2 linked regions of the Arabidopsis thaliana genome follow. The protein of the gene in region 1 interacts with the protein of each later gene in a biochemical or structural test. Each region holds a gene or a part of one and is shown on either strand. Other genes may lie near its edges.

Evidence for each region.
Region 2: the proteins of AT3G06610 (region 1) and EMB2753 form a complex in vitro, tested with the Arabidopsis thaliana proteins (one study listed by BioGRID).

Annotation. Positions count from the first base shown.
Region 1 is NC_003074.8:2,058,505-2,062,259, reverse strand, and holds AT3G06610 (DNA-binding enhancer protein-like protein), read right to left. Parts: upstream 1,646-3,755; 5' UTR 1,424-1,645; coding exon 1,292-1,423; intron 1,194-1,291; coding exon 1,138-1,193; intron 652-1,137; coding exon 585-651; intron 508-584; coding exon 415-507; 3' UTR 107-414; downstream 1-106. Other genes in the region: AT3G06600 (uncharacterized protein), read left to right, coding at 1,802-1,894, 1,989-2,111, 2,337-2,702.
Region 2 is NC_003070.9:30,233,386-30,237,140, forward strand, and holds the start of EMB2753 (tetratricopeptide repeat (TPR)-containing protein), read right to left. Parts: upstream 1,601-3,755; 5' UTR 1,448-1,600; coding exon 1,397-1,447; intron 910-1,396; coding exon 831-909; intron 447-830; coding exon 364-446; intron 257-363; coding exon 107-256; intron 1-106. Other genes in the region: ATXRCC1 (BRCT domain-containing DNA repair protein), read right to left, coding at 2,059-2,343, 2,471-2,557, 2,637-2,750, 2,843-2,928, 3,099-3,210, 3,301-3,489, 3,590-3,755. UniProt on the Arabidopsis thaliana protein: Auxiliary subunit of the NatA N-alpha-acetyltransferase complex. Required for male gametocyte development, embryogenesis, suspensor development and the formation of the quiescent center (QC) in the root meristem.

The DNA of each region.
Region 1 (3,755 bases):
ACTAACCTACAGGTTGATCAACAAACTTCTTGTTTCAATGAATACCTTCGTTTGGAAGTTCTCGTTGTGCATCAGTCTAATTCAAACTTTTTCTAGAAACTTGAATGTATTTCTATTTTGTTTTGCTTTGAAGTAGTACTGTACCAATGTTCCATGATTATCCCACAAGCTTTTTACAGCTCCAAGACCAAGTAAACGAAGAACACATTCTTATATCTTGATAATAAGATTGAACTTCAAACTTCAGGTAGAACCACAAAACACCACCCCAGAATCGATTGTAACTGTATTCAGGGCTTCTCAGAGAGATCGGTTCAGCAATAGACAATTTTAACTCGGTTAAATATTAGGAGACTTGCTCTCAACCTCTCAAACATACAAAAAACCTTGGAAGTAAAGAATGGTCCTGCTCCATCATAGAGGATATCGTGAAAGCAATTGCCTAGTCGCAGCAACCGCATCACCTTTGTGCTCCCTTAGAGTTCTTTCCGCCACATTCTTTTCTATCTGCTCATTTACAATGGTGACAAACTTCAGAACTTTGTGAACACATGCATAGAAGAAGCTAATAAAAAGAAGCTAACCTCAAGTTCGTTTACAATAAACTCAACATCTGCAGGATTGATCTTCACAGAGGCCAGTTCTTTCTCCCTGCATAAAGTTCCAATACTTTGTCAATCAAATACAACGAAAAGTCTAATCTTTTCCGAAAGATGATATTGACTCGTAAATCACATTCAATCACTTATTAATAATAAGTTCTACTTGTTTTGTTGATCATTCTCGCTGTGTTTTCTCTAGTAAAAGCTATTACAGCACAACTGATATCTGGCGTCAATACTATCTAGATGTGAGTAATTTCAAAAAAACAAACAGATTCTCCAAAATTGACACTCTTGGTCTAAATAGATAGACTTAAGTGTTGCCAAGCCCCAAAAAAACAGATAAACACCAATTTGTACAGAGAGATTAGCTACAGTTTGAACTACAAGTGTAACGCAGTAATCAAATTAATCAAGTTAATTCTGAATTAGGAATGGAAACAAACGAGTTTGACTTATGTTACAGCTTCATTAAGCATTGCTAATAATCTCCTATTTCAGAATTTAGAACACGGGAAAAGCTTAGAGTTTTTACCTCAACCTCTTAGCATTCAGATCAGCCTCCCTAGAAGCAGCAATCGAAGCCATAGCCTGAAACACGATACCGACTTTTCAATTTACTAATCGAGCTAAAAAAATTTCGGAATTCCTAATATTTTCAGAAATCAGGACACGAAAGAGTTACATACCGATTGAACACGAGAGGAATCGAGCTGGCGATCCTCGACACGATCGGTGAGCTTGTCGAAAGCTTTGCTTTGTTGCTGCAAGTCCTTTGAATCAACCGCTATCTCAGCCCCAGCTTCCTCTGCTCCCTCCATTGCTTCAATTTCTTCTCTTCTCTCTTTCGACTTCTTTCAGTTTCGGTGAAGAAAATTTCCGGCAACAGAGATTTTGAGGTTCGATAGTGTTTCAAGCTTCGACGTTAGAAACCCTAAAGGCTAATTCTATCGGGTGAGGCTGGAACCAAACCGGCTAAACAATACCACAACCGAACCGAATTCCGGTTTAGTAGGTTAATTTTGCGATGAGCGAGAACGATCTATATTGGGCCTTGAATAAAAATAGTTATCGGCCCTTAAGCCCATGTAAGAAGCGTACTACAAATAAAATTATCTTGCTTGATAGTTTTGTAGTTCACTCACTATTTCACATTTTCGAAAACTGACAAGCTCCAAATTTGAAAACATTGGAGAGAGATGAAGGAAATTCAAATTCCCAGGAAAAGCTTCGCGCGCTCATCAGAACTCGGAGCTAAGAGACTCAAGGATCCTGAGATGAAGAATCGGAAGGTAATTTTATTAGATCGATCCTTAAAATCGCCATTGTTTTCTTCTTCCCACATCGTTCTACTCAAATTCGAATCAATGCTTCTCTGAACTGAAGGTTACGACGGAGAAGAGACAGATCGCAACATTTTCCGACGTATCTTTTGAAAGCACGAAGGATCCGATGGATTTTAGTCCGATCTCTCAGATTTCTGGTGCGATCTCTGATTCCGAGGCTGAGGTATATGCTTCGCTCCAATGTTTTAGTTAGGTTTAGTTTCCATCGAAGTTTTTCGTTGTGTTGCTTTGTAAACGCTCAGATCCGTTAAGATTAGATGTTAAATTTTCGAAAATTGAATCGATTTTGTCTGCGCTTGATGACGAATTGGAAAGATTAAACCTCAATTTTAGCCATTATGTGTCTGGGTACTGATTACTGGCTCGAATTATGTTGTTCTCTCCTCAGAGTGTTATTCAAGGATCGAGCCTAGACTTAATGTCAACCCCAGAGATTTGTCTTCCGGCTGATGATTCTCCAGTTTCAACCATTACTAGTGTGGAGGCTCGTATTGACACGTCTTCTACTGATCGGATCCAGTCGATTGTGGACTTGCCCGCTTCTGTGCAATCCTTGCGTGGGGAGATCAATGAGCTGAAAAAACTGATCTGTTCAGTTGACAATTCTGCAGAAATTAACTGGGTCGATAGAGTTGTTACTGTGAAATTCCGCATTGTGCTTTTGAGTTTCATTCTTTGGGCTATCTTAGCTGCGATTGTGGTCTTCTTCAGCTCAGGAGAGGAACGTGCTTACCGTGGACCACTTCCAACATGATTCTTCAAGGTAATTCACTTTACGTTTCTTACCTTTGTCACATTGATTCTGGTTTCCTTCTCATAGGATGATAACAATAATAATTTCAACGTTGCATAAGATTGGGGTTGTATACTGATCTGCCTTCAATAGCACATTTATCCTGTTTGTCATTTTATGTTGCATCTCTGCTAATGAAGGTCACAGCTGTTTAGTTTAAGTTGGCTATTAGCACCTCTTGAACTTCAACACTATTAACATATTTCAACTACTGGGATGTGTCTACCAAAGGAAAGATCAGTTCTAACATTGTTTTTTATTTTTTTTTTAGAATTCACTCTTTAAAAATAACTGCAACACACGTTCTCTAGTAAAAGTAAGTACAGATATCTCAGTGAAGTCTTATGCGGTTGAAATGCTACCTTCTTCTCTCTGTGTCCTTTTTGTTGAATGTTAAACTTCCTAAGCCTTCTGATTGAATGTTTTAAATTTAGCTCATGCTAGGCCCAAACCAAGTAGTCTCTCACTAGATCCATTGGTAGGTTGAGAGTGAGTTTGCAAGTAGGCCTCATAAGCAGCTAGTTAGTCTCATTCCTAAGTCCTAACCAATGATTGATCCCTAAAATTTTATTGGCACAACTGATATGACACTTGATCGTCTCATCTATGGTGACTTGTGTTATCCAAATGCAAAGTCTTCTCTCCATCACACATTTGATACATAGGCTTCTGTAGCATTTAAGTTGCTAGGTTCTAATATACCTTGATGTGTTCCATTCTTAGCTCTGTTTGATACAATGTAATGCAACCCCACCTAATTTATTTGCTTCATATATATAGCATGCTTGTTTCTATGTGCATCTCAAATCGATAGGTTATATAGATCTTACCAAGACATGTGCTAGCCTTTGTTTCCATTCTCATGCAAGCTGTTCTTTACATTTTTGTATATTAAGCCAGACAAATCCTATGGAAAGTCCAGCCTGTTAAGCTTTTTGGGTAATTACTTGATTTGATCTTTCACAACTATTAGGATAAACTCTTCGAGGTATTAGGTTAGGTTTATTCTCCATT
Region 2 (3,755 bases), on another chromosome or scaffold:
AACAAGCTTTACACAAAGTAAAGTGATAAAAAGTATGAAAAATCAGCTTTGAGAATAACTGGCACACCTAATAAATTCACCTCAATCTAGTTTTTCTCATAATTACCTGCAGAAGTGAGAGGTCTCTGAGTATTTCAAGGTTATCAGGATCTATTCTAAGAGCATTTCGGTAGCATTTGATTGCTTCTCTATACTCTCTGTCTGACCGGTACAAAAGACCAAGCACATGCCAGCAAACATGGCTTTTGATATCATTCTGCATGAAAAAATTTGAAGTATATAAATCCTATGTTACCCTGAAAACAAAATACCATTTTGGAAACTAAGGAATAAAGTTGTGATTATTGAAGAGCATATTCAAACCTTCACTCCAAGTCGAACAAGCTCATATGCTTCAGTTTTGCGGTCCATACAGTTTAGAGTCAGTCCTTTCATCGATAAAGTCTCTGAAAATCACAAACAATAAGAGCGACAAGTTTTAAAAGAAAGAAAAGAATAACGAAAAGGGTTGACAAATCAAAAAAAGCAAGAACTGCGTTTAACACGAAACAGAACTGGTCTCTACTAACAAAACTAAACAATACCAAGCATTACCCTTGTACTAAAAAGTTAATTTATTTGCTCTAATAGGAAGAAAGAAAATAAAAATTCTAACAGTGATTGATTCTTAAGACTATAGACAAGACAACGAAGCGCCTAGTAGACCTACAAGTCATGAGATCTCGGTTGATGTATGTAGTATAGAGTTGTAAGTATTTAGATAGCAGTAAAAAGATTAGCACTAAATCACAAAGGAATAGAAGGAGATATTAGATAAAAGACAAACTGACCTCCATGATCAGGAAACTTTTTTAATATGGCATCAGCTGCCTTGAGTCCCTTCTTGTACTGCTTAGTCTCATATGATTTCTGCATTATAAGATTACTCAGAATAACTATATATGATGTACTTACTTGCGAAAATTACATAAAGAAAAAGGTCAACTATTCAAAGCAGGTTGAACAATATAATGGTTAAACCCAAAATCTATGCTGAAACCATATATATATTGATAAAGCTTGGTTTTCAAGTTCTTCAAAGTAAACTACGAATCCCTGAGCGACTAAAAAAGCCCAGAAGCAATCGAGGTCTAATAATAGCCGATAGTCAAAAGTAACTGAAGCTAAGAACTTGGTACATCAAATTAACACATTAAGGAACCACAACTCCGCACAGTTTACTTCATATGTCAACGAATTTTTCTATTGACCCAACACATTGACGATTAACTTAATTTAGGGTTTAATAGAGCAGATAAAACTCATCGTATTCCAATTTCTGCTGACCAGGAACATCACATCGCATGTTTAAGACAAAGTAAAAACTGAGAAAGAAAGAGAGGGAATCGGAACATACGACGATGAGCTTGAAGAGGTTGGCCTCCTTAGGAGGAAGCGAAGCCCCCATTTTATTGCGCTACTGAGAGAGCTCGCGAAGACGAAGACGGAGAAGAAGAAGAAGAAGATGTTCTTCGCGAGTTCGATAGGGTGAGAGAGAGATAGAGGTGGCGTACTATCCGCTTCAACCCTACTGCGAAACAAAGAAAGGCACAACTCTCACAAGACAAAACCCAATAAGGGTATAAATAAATTAGGGTCTTGTCTTCAATCAATCTTCTTCGATCCTAACCATATCGGTACATGTTTCCGGTTTCAATTCGTTTGTCTGATATTACAAAACGGTTATTAAATTGGATAGAACCAAACCGGTTCAAAACTGGAGACATCTGAACCTAATTGACCAAATCAAATTTGTATTAACCGATCAAATTCATCGTCAATCGACACTAAAAAGTATCAAATCAAACCGACTTATTAATTGCAACCGATTACATCTCTCAATCGAATCCAAACCAGCATAAATAAATTCTAATTAGAAACATTCTTTCCGAACCAAGCAGACCGGATTATTTCAAATTTTTATCAGTAATAACATCCTACTCAAACCGAACAAACCGAGTATAACAAGAATTCTTGGAATTCCTTAAGAGATCATATGCAAAATGAAACAAGTTTGATCTAAAGACACTCTAAAGAAACGTTCCTATAAGCAAGTTCGATCTCTTCTTCAGTCATCTCAACGGTCATATCACTGTCATAGCCACAAGCAACCCGAGAGGTCGATTCATCTTCGCCCGGTTTTGCTAGCTCAGCTTCGTAGATCTTTTTCCACGACTTTGCTTGTTTGCAAACTTCTTCCTTTGATGCTGTTGAATTTTCCTTTTTAGAAGACGATTCCATCTTTCCAAGCTCCTTCACTACACGAGGGACAAAGCTCCATAGCTCTGTAACTGATCCAATGTCCTAAAATTAAGAACATTCGAGAATAAATTCAACCAATGATCTTCTCAAAGAAACTGATCAAAGTTTAACAAATCCAAAAATGTACACAGGCGGCAACTATTATTGTTCAGACTTCAGAGATATTAACCTGCTTCTGTTCAAGAGAATCTATGGCGTCTTGTAAGCAGGTTAAGACTCCTTCCGCAGCTATTCGCTTGATTTCGCCTGGTTCTGGCTGTTACAATGGCTTTAGAATAACGGAAACATACAATCAAGAAAACATGTCTTTTGAAAGAGCATATTAATTCCCTTACTTTTTCCTCCTGACTCTCAAGCCATGAGATGGTTTGACTTAGGTCATCCCTGGCCCATTTCTTCACCTCTGTAACAAAAAATGGCTCTTTCACAAGATTGCAAGCTGATCTATTCTGTGAACATATGGAAATAAACAGTCATAGACCATTGATTGGAGCAAAATACGGTTCGTTTTGGTTAACCAAATCATCAGATTTAAACATGCCTTGGATGAGGTAGATGGTGTTCCCCTTGTTTCTGTTTTTTTCTCTACTTGCTTCTCTGGTTTTTTAGACAGGTGTTCTCTCTTTTCTGAATACAATCAATTAAGGTTCACAGAGTCAACTAAACATCGGAGTGAAGCAGTGCAATAAGAAAAGCTTTTCTCTTGTCATAAACGTAAAAACAAGGTGATTTGATGAACCTCAGGATGGTTAAAACGGAGATTCTATCTAAAGCCTTTCCAATATAATTCTTTTTACCTCGATTAGCATCTTGGGGACTACTGCTTTTCCTCCATGGTTTTCCAGCATGCATAAGGTATTGCTCGATATCTACCAACTTCTTCTGCGCATAACACTCAGTTATCCACTCCTGGAGACAGTGAAATCATATAAAATATCAGCAAAAAGGAGAAATTCAAATCCGCACACAATCCCTTATAAGAAGAGTCAAAGAGGTAACCTTTGAGATAATTGTTCCACCATTTGTTTCAACTTGACGGAACTTTGGAGTGTTAGGAAAAGCACAAATCAACAAGGTAGAGCCAGCGTTCCAGTCAGGTTGATAGGTGGCTCCCATTGTCAAGGCTTGTGACCTCAGTGTACTCCTCTCAGGATTAACAAAGCCCGAAAGTACAAAAACAACGCCTTCCTGCATAGTTTAACCTTCAACTCAATCACAAAAGCATATAAACTAACATGACAGCTTAAGATAATTGAGTCTCAACAAGACCATGAAGACACACACAAACCATAAGTTTAGAGAATTCAGTGGTATTTGAACTTGGCTCGGCGTGTTCTGACTTGTTGGAAGGGGCATTTCTACTGTTGTGCTCTTCGGTTGGTCCTTCATCCTTAGGCTTCTTACAATGAGACTTACTCGGAGTAATCTCGGGATCCCTAGAACTCATCCAAGAA